Struthio camelus: one gene and its partner. The protein of the gene in region 1 interacts with the protein of each later gene in a biochemical or structural test. Links are inferred from orthologs where the notes say so. Each region holds a gene or a part of one and is shown on either strand. Other genes may lie near its edges.

The links.
Region 2: the proteins of CREBBP (region 1) and SUMO1 form a complex in vitro, tested with the Homo sapiens proteins (2 studies listed by BioGRID, with this or other methods). The link is inferred for Struthio camelus from reciprocal best matches to the Homo sapiens genes CREBBP and SUMO1.

What each region holds. Positions count from the first base shown.
Region 1 is NC_090956.1:18,496,005-18,503,584, forward strand, and holds the start of CREBBP (CREB-binding protein), read left to right. Parts: upstream 1-4,375; 5' UTR 4,376-4,516; coding exon 4,517-4,601; intron 4,602-7,580. UniProt on the Homo sapiens protein: Acetylates histones, giving a specific tag for transcriptional activation. Mediates acetylation of histone H3 at 'Lys-18' and 'Lys-27' (H3K18ac and H3K27ac, respectively).
Region 2 is NC_090947.1:9,968,170-9,976,480, forward strand, and holds the start of SUMO1 (small ubiquitin-related modifier 1), read left to right. Parts: upstream 1-5,049; 5' UTR 5,050-5,223; coding exon 5,224-5,235; intron 5,236-8,311. Other genes in the region: NOP58 (nucleolar protein 58), read right to left, coding at 2,381-2,455. UniProt on the Homo sapiens protein: Ubiquitin-like protein that can be covalently attached to proteins as a monomer or a lysine-linked polymer.

The DNA of each region.
Region 1 (7,580 bases):
AACAGCAGCATGACTGTGGTCCCAGGGGTTACTACCACTTCCTGAACACAAGAAGAATTCACACATACATTGAAAATCAGAAGCCAGAAACAACAGTTATGTCACATAAAGTTGCTCCACAGTCCCATGAGTGCAGGGTGTGTCTAACCAGACATACTTGGAAGAAGAATAGGCAGCACCTTCTCCAGCAACCAGGAGGAGAGAAGATAACGGACACCAGGCTTGTCTTTTTGCCTGGGACAGCTTAATTTCGCAGCAAAACCAGCAGGTTAGGCAACCAAACTCTGGGACATAACGTTGCCAGGAAAAATGGCAGTTCCCAGTGAGAACTGTTCTGATGATGCCATGGTGACCTGCAAGTTACAGTGCAGAGCTCCTCAGAAGTTGTTCAAACACTGTTAATTGTTTGGCTGTGAGGATCTGAGGTCGCACGCTACAGAAATGATACTTCCATGCTTTGGCTGGGGAAGGAAGATAGGCTCTTGGGAGCTGTATCTTTAAGAAGCTTAATTCTGGAGACAGGGAGTCTGGAAATGGGCTGCAGCAGTGCAGGTTTTATTATGCAATTTCTCTTGGACGTAATATAACCCCCGAATAAAGGGGTTATCCATTAAGCACCTGCATTCACAGTGACTCCTGAGCACCACAGATAAAGTCCCCAGGAATCCATGCACGTGCTTAAATTGTCAGCTCGGGGGAGAGGGGGAGCTGTGCTTTTATGCACAAGGTACGGTGGGGGCCAGGACTGGGAATCCGGGGCACAAGTTTGCAGGACTGGGGTTCATCTGCTTGCTGTGTAATATCTCCCAGACAGTCTCCTTCCTTCTCACAAAATCATCCTATTCCAGTTGTAGCTCACTGTGCTTGGCATTACGGTGAGGCCACCTGAGTCTTGCAGGACTGACACAAACAAAGGGCTATGGTATCCTGAGCACTGCAGTACTATTAAGCCTTTTGGGCAAGTAAGGGTCAAGGTCTTCCCCCCGCTCCTGCCAATATCCCCATGCTGTTCTGATCCCATGGCAGGGGGATGACTAGGGCCATCCTAAGGGGACATCATGCCATGGAGAAGCTGCAATACGCAGTAGCATTAGGATTTCCTCTTCCTCTCCTGCTGCCCTGGTGTGCAGGGTTCCTTCCCTCCAAACCACCTCCTTCCTCTCCCCCTCTGGTTTCCGGGACTCGCAGCTCCCCTCTGATTTTACCTACGTGGCAAGTCTCATTTGGCCTGGCACTTTGCTGTAAAGATAGAAGAGCTCTTCCAGCTAGAGGGAGAGGAAGAGTGGCCTACTTCCATCTGCTCCCCATCCCCATTCCCAACACTGAGCATGCAGCATTGTTCTGGCAGGGCAGAGGCACACCAGGGCCAGGCAGGGCCAAGCAGGCTGGTACACAAGCTACCGTGACAGGTTCAGTGGCGGTGTCATGGTCCTCTTGCTTGCTAGTTGTGTGATCAGAACTGCAATACTGGTGGAACTTCAGCATATGGTCTATCAAACATCTTCCTGGAGCTAAGTGGTAGCTGTGGGACCACTTAGGTTCTGTTCCTGGCAGGAGATCCCCATCCTGACTCCATGCCAGAGCTCTAGTGTCATCGCAGCAGCACAGAAGGGGGTCATAAGGGAAGCGAAAGGCTACGGGCATCTGCTGATGCCAGCCACTCCAGCAAATCCTTTATTTTCAAGACCATACACGATGTAACGGGCAAGGTAAGAGCATAAAGTTATCCAAAAGCTACGGTTCAAAACTCGCTGACTGACCTTCTTGAAAAATGCAAGTAGCAGGTAGCAAAGGGCACTGCTGTCCTCTGTTGTGGCTGACAGACGAGCTGACCTGATTTCCGTTTCTCCACGTGCAGCAGAAACACATCTTCCCTCAGCCTAAACTGGGGCAAACACCTTGTATTACAATGAGAAGCTGTTGCAGATCCTCACTTCTGTGTTTTAGATGCCCTACCCATGTGAGAGAAACAGTGCCCCTCTATCATTGCATTGCCCTCATTTTTAAAATACACATTTTACTGCTCCCAGTCTTGAAACATCTCAAGCAGTAGATAAGACCTGAAGCCAAGGGGTTAGTGGCCTGTCACACTACTGCAGAGAAGGCTCATAAACATCTGTAGCAATGGTGTTTAAGCAGCTGGAGCCTCACCTAACCGATATGGACTTCCCACCCAAATGAGCTCCAGCTGCAGGTACCCGTTCAGAACTGGGACTCGTACCTGGAGCTGAAGCCCTGCCTCACACTGGACTACCCTAAAACGTACAAGAACTCTCTGCTTTTTAAGGAGACGTCCGAAAGGCAGACATAACCAGAGAGCCCCCGCACTTGTTTAAGAAATGAGTAATAGACTGATAGAAACAGAGCTGGTTACTGCCAGGCCTCTACAAGAGCAGGCGCCATGTAAATAAATATAGAATTTGCAAGTAAACGTAACGAAATGCATGTAAATATAGAAGTAAATGTAATGAGTATGAGGTAGCAGTAAACAAAAGACAAGGCTTTCTGTTTGCAAAAGAAGGTGTCATTATAGATCTCCTTTCAAAAAATAAAAGATTGCTGTTTAATCCATCTCAGCTTATGGACTTTATGCACACACCGCAGGATCGCCTCAGCTCCTTTCTCCCGCCTGTCCTCCAGTTAGGACTGCTCTTAAGGGATATGTCGACATACAGCAATAAGCGATGAAAACAGCCCTGAGCAACTAGTTTGGGTACGAGACGCTTTGCTGCTATGGCACGTCGCCTGGGCTTATAGAACGACCTTCTTCTCAGGTTAGGAACCAGTACGGAAACCAACTGAAGTACACGAGCTCCAGCCTTACAAACCTGTTTCAGCCAGGGAGGTTTGTCTAGTCAGAGCGGAGGCACGGCTGGAAGCAAGCGGTCGGAGCGGGTGCCCGGCGCCCCGAGCCCACCGGCCGTTAGGTTGGGTCCTGGTGCCTGAGCTGAGCTAGCAGCGACCGGGTCCGGCCGTGGGCGTCCCCGTGGGCCGGCGCGCGGCCCCTGCCCTCGCGTACGGCTGCGGGGCGGTGGCGGACGCCCTCAGCAGCAGCGAGGGGCCTAAGGGCGCGCGCAGCGGGGGGAAGCCCTTCGGGCGGGCTGCGAGGCAGCTCGGGGGCTCGGCGGGGATAACCGGGCAGGCGTTTCGGCAGGGCGCGCGGCCCCGAGCCACGCGGGCCGGGGCGGGCTGAGAGGCGGCAGGCGCGGGCAGAGCCAGGAGCAGGGGGCGAAGGCAGGAGCCCGCTGGCAGCGAGGCCACACGCGACAGGAGCGGGCGGAGGGCGTCTGGGCGCTCAGCGAGCCAGCGCGGGGGGCGACGGGCAGCCAGGGGCAGGGGGGACAGGCCGGCATCGCCTGAAGGCCCCTCTCGTCCCCGTCCCCGCCTGAACCCAGCGCTGGCCGCCTGGGCAAGGGGGCCCGGGCCTCAGCCGCGGCCGAGGGGCAGCTGCGGGGCGCTGAGAGGCGACAGCGACGGGGGGGGGCGGGAGGACGGGGAGGGGGGCGGGGGCCCCGCCGGGCCTCGCGCGGGCCGTTCCCCCCCCCACCCCCCAACCCTGGGCAACGCGCCGCGGAGCAACTGAGGACGAGCTCGGCTCTTTCCGGCGCCGCTCGCGCCTTTCCGGCGGCGGCGGGGGCGGGGGGCGGGGCCCGTGCGCGGTGACGCAGGGCGCAGGCCCCGCCCCGGTCCCGCCCCCATGGTCTCTGGAAAAGAGAAGAGAAAAAAAAACTTTTTTTTTTAATTGAGGAATCAACAGCCGCCATCTTGTCGCGGAGCCGGAGCGCGGCGCGAGCGGAGCGGGGCCGGGCCGGGCCGGGCCGGGGCAGCGGGGCCGCCCGCCGGGGCACGGGCAGCCGCGCGGAGCGCCGCCGACGGGCACAGGGGCTCGGGGCAGCGGGGCAGCGCCGGCCGGGGCCAGCCGGGCGCCGCCGCCGGGACCGGGACCGGGAGCCGCGGCGGCCGCCGCCGCGCCGCCCTCATTGTTTTGGGGCTTTATTTTTTCGGCCCCCGTTGGCCGCGGCTCGCCGCGGGCGGGCGGCGGGGGTGGGGGCGGCGGGCGGGGGCGGCAGCGGGGCCGCGGCGAGCCCCCCGCTCGCAGGGGAGGGGACGGGGCGAGGAGGAGCGGGTGGGGGGGCGCTATGCTCCCCGAGTGACTGACTGAGCCGCCATCCGGGCACCTCCTCGGCGGCGGCGGCGGCAGCGGCAGCGGCGGCAGGGCGGGGGAGCGGCCGGGAGGAGCGAGGCCGGCAGGGAGGGGGCGCTGGGCTCTCCCCACCCCGCCCCGAGCCCTCCTCCCTGCGGCCTGCTGCGGCGGCGGCCCGGCCCGGGCATGGGGGAGCGGGGGCCGCCGCCGGCCGGGCACTGAGCGGCGCTGTTGCTCGGCCGCGGCTCCCGTGCGGAGCGGAGCGGAGCGGGGCGCCTCTCCTCCTCTCCTCTCCGGCGGCGGCGGCGGCTGCCCGCCGATCCCGGGAGCGCGGCGGGCCCCGGCGGGGCTGCCACGGCCGAGCCGGCTACCATGGCGGAGAACTTACTCGACGGGCCGCCCAACCCCAAGCGAGCCAAGCTCAACTCGCCGGGCTTCTCCGCCAGCGACAGCACAGGTGAGGGCCGCGGGGCGGCGCGGGGGCGGCCGGGCGGAGGGACGGAGGCGGCGGCCGGGCCCGGCCATCCGGCGGCGGCCCATCAGCGGGCCGGGCCGCTTACCCGGGGCGGGGGGGGGGGGGGGGAGCGGCCTCCCCGCGGCTTCACCGAGCGGCGGGGGTGGGACGCGGCCTGGCGGGGAGGCGCGGCCGGGGCGGGCGCCCCGCAGCCGTCTGCCGGCGCGGCCGGGCCTCCCGCGGCCGAAGTTACCGGGCGGGAGCCGCGCGGTTGTTCCCGTCCCGGCCGCGCGGCTATAAATAGCGGCGGCCTGGCCGCGGCGCTCGGGGAGCCGGGCCGGGCCGGCGGCGGGGCCGGGCGGAGGGAGCCGCCTGGGTGCGCGGCCCGCGCTGCCTCCGCGGGGCGGGGCGGGGCGGGCGGCGGCGGCGGTGGGGGGGGTCGGTGCTCCTGGAAAGCGGCGGAGCGAGGGCTGCCGAGAGGCTGCTCCGGCTGCGCGCCGGGTTGCGCGGCCGCCGGTGGGGGCCCAGCCCGCGCCCAGCGTTTTTGTGTCGAAAAATTCGCAGCGCTGAAGTTGTGGGGTTTCTTCCGTGACGACACGGCCGGCGGGCTCGGGGCGGCTGCGGCTTGGCCGGGTGTCGTGCAGTCTTCGGTGCGCGCCTCTCTCTTTCTCTCCTTTTTTTATTTTTTTTTTTTTTAAATCGTCGTGGGGGGTGTGGATAATAAAATGCATCAAAACGATCGTTTCCAGTAATCGCCTGCCCGTTGGAAATACGCACGTGTGCAGAAACGCAGGCGTGCGTGCACTTACTTCTGTAAGTGTCCCGAGTGTTCAACACGGGGGCCGCATAGGAACAAGTGATATGTTTGACGGGTCTTTCGGTTCTCGGAGATTAATGAATCTCGTTTAAGGGACAGTGATAAGTTAATCACGCTATGCCTGCTATGTTTCTATAGACTGAAAAAATTATTACCGTAATGGAGCTGATAAACTCTGTGGGTTTTTTTTTTTTAAGTTTGCTCAGTCTGCGTTTGGCAGTAGTTTTATAGATAGGTCTGTGGGTTTGGGTTTTTTTTTTTTTTTTAATGGAATCTTTTTCTTCCCAAACTGCAAAGAAATGAAACATACCAAAAAGAAGCAATATTGAGACTAAGAATGGGTAGAGAATACCTGGGTGAGGTCTTGTGACTGAACTACTTTAATCCCTTTTTGTGGAAGTGACTGAATATCATAGTGAAGGCTGATGCAGAAGGTGCTGTGAAATGCACCGCAGTAACTCAGAAAAACACAGTTTTTCTTTAATTGCCCAAATAGACACGTTAGAGGCTACTGGTAGCCAGGAAAGGATCTTTGAAGCAGGTTTTTCTCTCTCTTTTATTTCCCCCCCCTCCCCGTTGCCTTGGTCTGTTCTGGAACGCTTCAGTCATAATTACGTCCTGTTCAGCAAGTTCTAATGCGTCTTGGTGAGCTCTGTGGAGCACTAGAAATGTAAACTTGAGTATCTGCATAAAGTTTTGCGCAGCTGAGAGGACCTTTGGTCACCAAGGACAGAAAACCTCAGGTTGTGTTTTTGACAAATAGGAGTATTTCGGTTGTGTTCTGTTGTGATCCTAGTGTTCTTCGGGGAGGGGAAGCATCTCTTTGAGGGTGCAAGCGATGTTTGTGTGCTTAAAAGTGCTTTTCTCAATTTGCTTTCTTTTTCTTTTTTTTTTCTTTTTTAAGATTTGTTGCCAGCAGCTAATACTACTTGTTGAAAGATTGCTGAACTCTTCTATGTGTTGTAGTAGGCAATACAAATAGTTTGAGTAGTGATTTCTATCAAATCCCTGGTCCTGAACCTAAAGCAGGCTGCTCTCTTGCACTGAGGCTTAAATAAAAAAGTCGTTGCAACATGGAAGGCTCTTTATTTATTTTAAATCAGAGAGATTTGGGTAGATAGTTTTGAGATTCGTGCCCTTACTTAACAAGCTGTAAGTTGTGTCCTGGATAACTGAATTGTAATTGCAGTCATAAACCCCAGCTGTTTGATGCCGCGGCTTGCGTGATTGGGACATGCTTTAAAAGACATCGTGTTAGGCCCAGTTGTGTAGTTTTGTTGCTGAATAACGAGGCATCAATCCTGCCAATGCTTAGAAATGAGTATAGTGGTGTGCTGGTGAAGGGTCTGGTGGCAGGCCTGAATTTTCAGCAGAATGCAGCTGCTCGCTCTTGTTTATATTTCACTTGATGCTTTGATGCGGTGATCTTGAGCAATTCCTTTTGTCAGGGTAAATGTTAGTTCCCTTTAATCTTTCTGGTAAAAATAGCTTCTTAGCCTACTGTAGCTAAGTTTGTGCAATTTAAACTGGCTTGCTTACGTTCTGAAAATATGACCTTTCCTGTTAAATAGCTAAATCAAATCTCTGATCTAAGAGAAGGGAGTAGAGAAAAGGATAGCAGAAACGTATACTATGTATATCATAAGGTGTCGTAACAGTTAGCACCAGGGCAACTCTGAAATCTGCTTCTGTCAATGAAGTATGCTGATGAAGACCCATGGCTACCGGCTCCGCTGGCCGTTGCCGTTCAGTATTCAACAAGCTGGCTAATATGATAAGAATATTCACGGGCGAGATTTTCCCGTATGTAGCCAGGTAGATTAGCCCTTTTGTCTAATGGCTACTTTATTAGATACCCACTAGTTTTCTTCACTAAGCATTTGTACCTCGTTTAAATCTTATGAGGCGTTCTCATCTGGGTTGCTTTAGAATAAACCAGAGACTAATATGAAAAGTAGAATTATAGTAACTTCAGTTATTGCAGAGTATTATTTTAACATTGAGCGTCGTGATTACTTTGTATATCCTGCCAGTTCACGGTATCCTGCCAAACGAGCAACGCCAGCAAAGTTCTTGAGCTGGTCCTGCTTTGAGCTCTGAGCACAGATTGTGAAAGATGTTTTTGGATCAAGCAGCAGCAAAGCTCGCGTCCGTCGGGTGCCCGT
Region 2 (8,311 bases), on another chromosome or scaffold:
CAGAACTTTCAGTCTCCATAAACAGACACTGGCAGAGACAGAAGTCACCAAAACAGAGGTTGTTGATGTAGAGAAGTTATGGTTGCCTATGGATAGCGCGTGTCCTACAAGACAGTAAGATTCACTGGAAAAAGTCTTCCAAGATCTGGAATATGTTTATGCTGTTTGCCCTTACTTTCTGAATTCTGCTTGTTCTTCTTTAATGGGACCAACACCCACCAGGGACTACCCAAGAGCTCCCCAGCTTGCAGGGGGGGCTCTTGATCAGCATAGGATTAAGGCAGAGCAGTTACGTTGGCTATGGACACTGCTGAAAAGGGGAGCGGGTGTCCATGACTGCTTCCCAAAATTCAGAAGCCCAAATTCTGCCCAACCCTCAAGATACTTAAGGGGGGGGGGGGGGAAAGCACCAATGGCCATCTTTAAAGGCTACCAAAACAAACCAACCAAAAAAACCAAAAACCACCCCACTAAATTGCACAGAGAATACTTTGCTACAGAATGAATAAACAAGTATAAGGACCACGCAAGTTTGTAACCAAACAGCTACTGTGCCTGGGAACGCAAAGCCATGTGATTGAGAGCCCTCCCTACCTAGCAGATACACACTGTGGCAGGGACTCTCTCTGGCATGGGTAGCTGCAAACTGAACCAAGACAGAAAACAATAGCTTGTCTCAAAACACAAGATTTACTAAAATATTATTTATGCTCACTTCCAACAAACAGCTTCCACCCCAGACGTCCTTCGCGCTCCTCTCTTGCCCATGAGGTAGGCGTTTAGAAGACCACATTTAAACACTGCTTCTTGGTGCCTAGTGCCCTCTAGCCGCTTCGCATACACATCACAGCCAGACCCCAAATCCCAGCTGTTGACACCTGCAACTGAGTGTTGCAGCACTCCTGCAAAGAAACTTCTTCATTTCTCTTTATGCTCCTCCTCCTACTTTTGCTTTATATCTATCCTGGTTTCAGGGATTCAAACGTGCTATTTTCAGCCCTTCCTGGTTTCTGTAGAAGATTAAAAGAGGGCTTGGCTCCCAGCACAAGAGGTTCAACCCTACCTGGAAATACTGCCTTCTCTCTCTCCCTCTTTTTTTTTTTTAAAAGAAACTCAGAAGGTGCAGTATATTAGCTAGTGTGAACAGCCACTGATCTAAACCTCCAGGGAGACAGTGATATACTTTAGTTCCCCAGTTGCAAGCAGGAATGAAAATGGAAGTAATATGCTTTTAGATACATTTTTACATGAGGATTAGTCTTAAAAACCCTCTTTGCCTGAACTGCGCAGCTACACCTCAAAGAGGAGGAAAGGTTTCAGGGTAGACCAAGGAACCATAGGGCTCTGTAGAGCCCCAACGATGCAGTTCTATAAGTTAGGGTAAAATAAACTAGTGCCTTGCTCTCCTTGTATCTGCACTGGTGTTTGCACAAGCCAAACCCAAAAAAGACTAAGCTAGGTTGAAATAAAGCAAGTGCTGTCATCAAACTCCATGAACAATCTCATCATGAGACTGTACAAGCATCAACATCCAAAGCAAGAGAAAAGACAGATGATGGGGCACACAGCACCAAAGCAGCTCTAGCAACTCATTTAAACCATCATGGAGCTGCAACCTCTGAACCAACACATCAGGAGCTTGCCAGAGACTTGTGGTCTGTTCCTCCTAGCCCCATGTTCTCAACACAGCAAGAAAGGCAGAGCATGTGCTACACCTGTGGGCAGCTGATGCCAGCTCATCTGGCCCATGTGCTGAGTCTGCCAAAGAGCTGACAGAAACACACGCAGGTCAAGGCACCCTGCAGATTTGCTTAGCATGCTGCATGGCTCCCATGCACCTCTCCTTACAACCAGGAGGTGCTGTTAGCCTGTGAGCAAAATGAGTTCAGTAGAAATAAGGGAAAGCACTTAAGATGCTTTTCCCCAGGACAGGATGTCTCCAGAGATTTCAAGGAGGGCACAAAGACAGGTACCTTCTCTCCCACCAAATCTGTTCTCACTGGTGGAAGAAAAAGAAACAGCCATGTGCAATCCCTGATGGGACCATGGAGAAAGCTCTCCCTCTCAAGTGCCTTTAGGCTTTGCATTTCCAGGACACTACTACAACTGCAGCCATCTTTCCCCGCGCTGTGCCTCTCCTTCTTACCCGAGATCCTCTTTACAGCACTCACTCTTCAGCTTCATGTCTCACCTCCCTCCTTCTCCTACTGTGTATGTCACAAGGAAACCAAACAAGGCTGACGTGTAAAGTGACTTTTTGAAAAACCATTTGACTTGAGCACACTCCTTCCCCGTTGACGTTTCCGCCACAAGTTAATTACAATACCTAAAGCTATCTTACTTCTGTTGCAACTCTCACAACTCCTTTCCGTTAACTTACCCTCCGCCGGAAACACACCACACAGCGCTCCGCAGACAGGACGGCAACCCACTCCTCCCCGAACACGGTCCACATAACTCGTTTTTTTCCCCTTGGCGGTGATCAGCCCAGCGCCACAAACCCCGAGCGGCGTTTTAAGACGAAAGTGTTGCGAAAAGAGCAGCCTTCCGGGCCCTGAGCCGGGCGGGCACTTCCCGCCACGCCACACCGCGGACCGCTACCGAAGCGCCGCAGCTCGGGGGCTCGGCCGCCCCCGCGAGCGGGTCAGGCCCCCCGGGCAAGGCCTCGGGCCGAGCGAGGCGCGGACCCCCGGCGGCCCGCAGCCCCCCCCCCCCGCGCCTCACCTTGAAGATGGCGTAGCCAGCGGCGGTCTCGAACAGCACCAACATGGCGGCGGCGGCGCCAACGGCCGGAGCGGGGGCCAACGGCCGCTCACGGGGGGGTGGGGAGGGCGCGCGCGGCCACGTGGGCGAGCGGACGGCAGCCCTCAGCCCAGCACACGCGCGCGCCGGAACGGGAAGTAGCCACAGCGGAAGTTATGTCACGGGAGGGGAAGGGGCGGGGCCGCGGGCCGCCCCCCGCGCCGGCGCTGCTGGGTCCTGCGGGCCGTCGGCCGGAACGGAGCCGCACACCGTCGGTGTCCGCTCCCTGCGCTGACCGAGGCGGGGGAAAAAAGGCGCACGGAAACAGCAGAAATATGTCCCCTGGGTGGGAGACAGGTCTGGGCGCGTTCCCGGCCAGGCTGCCGCTCCGCCGTAAACAGAGCCTCGTTCCCCAGCCTCGTCTGCGCGCACGTCGGCATAGGGCTGCGGTCTGCCTTCGTGAACGCGCGCTTTCCTCTGCGAGCAGAGTTAAACCAGCCCAGTCCCCGGTGTGGACGCGGCGGCTGCGTGCGGCGCTTGCCCGCCCTCCGCCTAGGCCGAGGAGAAGGGGGGAGGCGCTCAGAGCTCGGTGCCGCTGCGGGCGTCCGACAGCTGCTCCCTTCTGACAACGGAACGCCAAACTCGCTGCATTTACAACAGGCGTTTCGAGGCTCCCGATTTCCCCGCGCGGTGCTGCCTGCCCAGGATCCGGTGTTTCCGGGGAAGCCGCAGCTCAGCCCGGCCCTGCCGCCTGCCGCCTCGTCGCACTGCGCCCTCCAGCGCGTCCAGGGGTTACTGTCCCAAAGAACAAATTATAGATTAAACATGATTTACCTTCTTCCTTTTAATAAGGCATATTAATACTTACTGCTAGCACTAGCTGCTCTCGAACAAATACACTAGTGTTACGAGATTATGGATTGTTCTCAGGTTAAAGCCCTGTTTTGTAGGAAAACTATCTGCAGGCTGAAGAGGCTTTGTGCAGGCTAGGTAGGCTAACGCTGTCCAGAAAAACACTAACAGCTCCTCTGCTTTCCACACAACATTGGTCAAGTTAATTAGCAGCAAGCTGAATGAACGGAGGTGAAATTTATTAACTTCAGGTGATTGAGATTAGTTGCAGATGGGGAAATTAGAGAAGTTATAAAATACCTGAGGATTAAACAAAGTTATTAGTGGATGTAAAGTAGTCTCAACATCAGCTGTAGCAGCAAGGGCTACTTTGAGTTCTGTAGGAAGAAGCTCATGTATGTATATTTAGTCTTTTAAAAGCATGTTTTTGTTGGGCTTTAAGGGTGCTGCATGTTGGGTTTGGGCTGTAACAGAAGAAACGTGTGACTTTTGTAACCCTTATAGGTTGAATTGAGACTAGCTGCTAGGGAGGTGCTGTGCAAATATAGCTTGTACCCTGAGCACATACATATCTGTAACCGAAGTGAATAAAAAGTGTATAAAGAGGGGTATTGTTATTAAGTTTTAATAGTGGTATTTAAATTTCAACTGTGTGTGCTATGCATGGGGAAGAGGGATAACTGGTGATTTGCATGTTACTCTTATTATAGAATGCATAGGAAAAGGGGTACAACTAGGAATTGCATTCAGATTTTATGCTAGAACTTTAAAACTGTCACCTTCTATCCGTGGGGCTAACCTCCCTGCTTTTAAACCTGTCCTTTTGTTTACTGCTAGCAGTGGCGTTTGCAATAGGATCAAGTGTTTGTCATCTCCACTGTTCACCTCTTGGGTTGCTCCAAGGCTGCGAATGGTTCTCGGTGGTGGTTCCTGCAGTGCTCTTGACCTGGTGACGAGGAGGAGGTCATCTTCCCCTTCGTCACCTGGCTCCGCGGAGTGCGTCGCCCCGTTTTATTTAACGCCTTCTCCCCCGTTAATTCTGTGCGGCTCGGTTGGCCGCTGCAGGCCTGCCTGGTGCGATGGCCGCGTGCGTTCCCCGACGGGTCGGCTTCGTTAGCCCCGGTGGCGCTGGTGGGCCCTTCGCGCCTGGAAACGCTTCTGCCTCTCCTTGACTGGAGTTAAAACCTTCTCTGGGGGGAATCAGGACGAGAATCCCCTGCTGGGGGGGGAACACAAGTAGGGTGGGTTAGAAATTCACTGAGTTTTTCAGAAATCCACGGAAACTCGCAGAATTTCGGGGCGCTTCCCGACCCCCCCCCGGCGCTGGCCCTCCTCGCCGGCGGCGCAGAGCGAGGCGCGCGGCCCGTCCGGCCCCGGCTTCCAGAAGGTTCTGGCGGGCGGCGGCGGCGGGCGGCGGCCGGGGCTGGGCGCGCCGAGGGCCCGGCCCGGGGCTGGGCGGGGAGGAGCCGCGGCGGCGGCGGCAGCGGGCCGGGCCGGGCGGGAAGTGATCTCAGGCGCACAGGAAATCCCGCCCGCGCCGCGGCCTGTGTTTGTGCTGCGGCGGAGAGAAAGGGAGCGGAGCGCCTGCCGCGGCCCAGCCGAGCCTGCCGCACGCGAGGGGGCGAAGCCATGTCTGACCAGGTACCGGCGGGGCTGGGGGGGGGGGGAGGCGGGCGGCCCGGCCTGCGCCTCGGCCGGGCTCTGCTCGCCAGCCCCGAGGGCGCGGAGCGGCCCGGCCCGGGGCGGCTCGGCGCGGCGCCGAGGCCCTTTCCTTTCGTTTTCGCTGTCCCGGCCGTGAGGCAGGTCGCTCTGCCGGGGCGGGATGGCTCGCCGGGCGTTGCGGCGCGCAGCCCTCCGCGCTCGGCGGCGTGAGCTGTCGGCCGGCCGGGAGTTAACGCGGCACGGCAGGGTGGTTTTGTTCCCCGCCGTGCCCTTATTTCACGCGTTGCCCCCCTCCCCCCCCCCCAAGTGACAGCTTTGTCACGGCGGTTTGACTTCGGGGGAAATCAACGGCAGCGCCGGCGAATGTTTCCTGCCGTGCCGGGAAGCCAAGGGTAGTATTAATGCAAGTCATGAACTGAAAAATTATTCCGAAACCACGGTAAATCTTAGGATATGCTGTTGCCCCCGTTGAGGAGTAGCCTTGGCACCTTGTGACCCGCGAACAGAAGTCACTGCTGTGTGAGCTGGGTCCGTGCCCCCCCCCCCCCCCCCCCGACTTTGGAGCACAATGAAACTCTTGGTGGTGTTACTGCCTGGCTCTGCCTGCGAGAGCGCGGCGAGCGCTAGCTCTCATCAGGACGCGTTTCCAGTGCGGTAACAGGCAGGCGAGTGTCTGCAGAAAAGGAAGAAAAAAAAAAAATCAAATTATGAACGAGATTCTGTGGACTGCTCTTTATGTGGCCTGTTCTGTCGCTCATGTTTGTGAACTGATGAGGCACGTTTTAACACATAACAGCATTCATTAAGTAATTCCTTCTCCAGTCCAGTCCTGCTAAGGTGTATGCATGTTCATTCTTCTTTGGGACTGCTTGAAGTATGTAAAATTCATTGTATGTGAAAGCCTTTATTGGATATGTGTCTTAGAGGCACATATCCCAGAAGGTGCATTGGATAAGGGCCCTATTTTTCTTTTTTTTTTTTCCTTTGGAAATGCCTGTGCTAAACATTATCATATGTTTTGGCATTGACTGCTGGGGTAGAGGGACTGTGTAACAAGACCTAAACAGATGTACAAGTAACAGTATAACATAAAGTGAATATCGCCTAACCATAGATCTCATTTCTCTCTTTATCAATGCTACTGGAATAATCAGGTTGCCTGAAGTTGTAGGTTGTTTACAATAGCCTCCTTCTTGGTCCTGGAATCAAGATGTTAAGAGGATGATCTCTGTCAGTAGTTATAATTCTAGCTCTTTTTTCTTGTTATGTAGATAAAGATGCATAGTTGGTTTAGTTTCTTTATTCTCAATTACAAACTAACTTACTCGATTTAAAAAAAAAAAACTGTAGCAACAAGGGTAAACTTCTTAGAACCACGTGGCTGCTTGGTGGGATCGCAGCAGAAGGGGAAAAAGAGAAGTAACCCCCCCCCCCCCGAAGTCTCAGGCTGTTCTTATTCTCATTCCATCTAGATGAAAGCATTTTTATCTCTTTGTGTACTGTGGATAGGAAATGCTGTGGCACAATTGTACATACTTTCCTATTCCTGTCACAAATGTAAGAGTTTGTTTGCTGAGCTGGGGATGCACAGTGTAATCTTCCTCCTCTTGCAATTTTGATGCCAAAAGATGGTCTCAAGTATGCTGAGCAGGGCCTTTTTTAGGCTTGGATAGTGAAGTTGGAATGCTTCAGAATAATAGTAGATACAGTTTGTTGTTGGAGGGAATTTGCAATAAGTTGCCTTACAATGTTTATTTTGTGGTTCCATTAGTGGCAATAGCAAATACCTGGCACGCTGGGTTGCATTTCATCCAGGGAACTTTGAGTGCTTTGCAGTCATGAATGCGGTGTTAATATAATTGAGACAGTATTAGGGACCTTATTTTGTGCTATTTAGGAAAACTGTGGAATGAAGCCTTTAGAAATTTAGGAGTCTAGTGAAAAGTTAAACTTGGGGTGTTGTGGTGTTTGGGTTTTTTTGATGTAACCATTTCTTTAGCAGTTCAACTAAAAATCTGGATGTTTGCTTGTGGATCATGGATTTTGTTAATGGATGCTCGTAATTTAGTAACTTTGCAATCTACTTGCTTCCTTTGTTCTTAAGTATTTTTCTGCTGGCTTTTCTATTTGGCATTGAATGGCAGTATAGTTAGCACTGACAAAATGCAGGGAGCTGTTTTAGACTTGCTGAGTCTTGTTGTATTCTGTTTTCAAATCTTCTGCTTTTTTTAACTACCATTACTGGCTTTTTCAATGCTGATTTGATCCTATTTCTTTTTTTCCTGAAATTCCAGCTCTACTCTTTGCGTTTTTTTTTTTCATGGACGAGGGGTTGTTGGGGCTTTAAACATGCACCTTTATGGTAGGCTGATGTTTTAAGCCTCTACTTTCTACTGTTTGCTCCTTTCCCTATTGGTGTCTAGTACGTGAGTTCTCTGTCCCCAAGGGTAGGAATCAAACATTATGAATCATTGCTTTCCACTCATATTGGCTAGAGGTGCTGTTATAGTAGCAATGATGATTTGTCATACCTTGTACAGAGTGATTTGTTACGGAAAGCTATAAGAGGTAGATCTGCTATAATGCACAGAACTGGATAAACTGCTATGAAGCCCTTTACTGCTGGGACAATACGCTGGTATGCAGTTTAATTCTTATGCAAAGCAGAATAAGATACTGACTTGAAATTTCATGTGAAGAGATGGGATGTTCTGATAAATTCCTTGGGCAACAGCAAAACAGGAGGCAGTTATAAAAGTTAGAGTTTGGATTTGTAGAGATCTGAATCTCTTCTGCATCCCTAGAGGTTAGTAATCCTACATACAGACCAAAAATGTTATTTGTGCAAGCCGTCCATATGAAAGAGATGAGACAGGTCTGCAGGACAGATTGCAGTTTCTTTTTTTTTTCCCTCTTTGAGTCAGGAGTGGAAGTTACTGTATTTTTTTTTTAAATTTATTTCCACAAATAGTGCCATGAGATCTGAGTTGAGATACGTTAGAAAGGGAAAACTTTGGTAAGAAATGCAATTGCTGTGTTTATATATCAGGGAAGA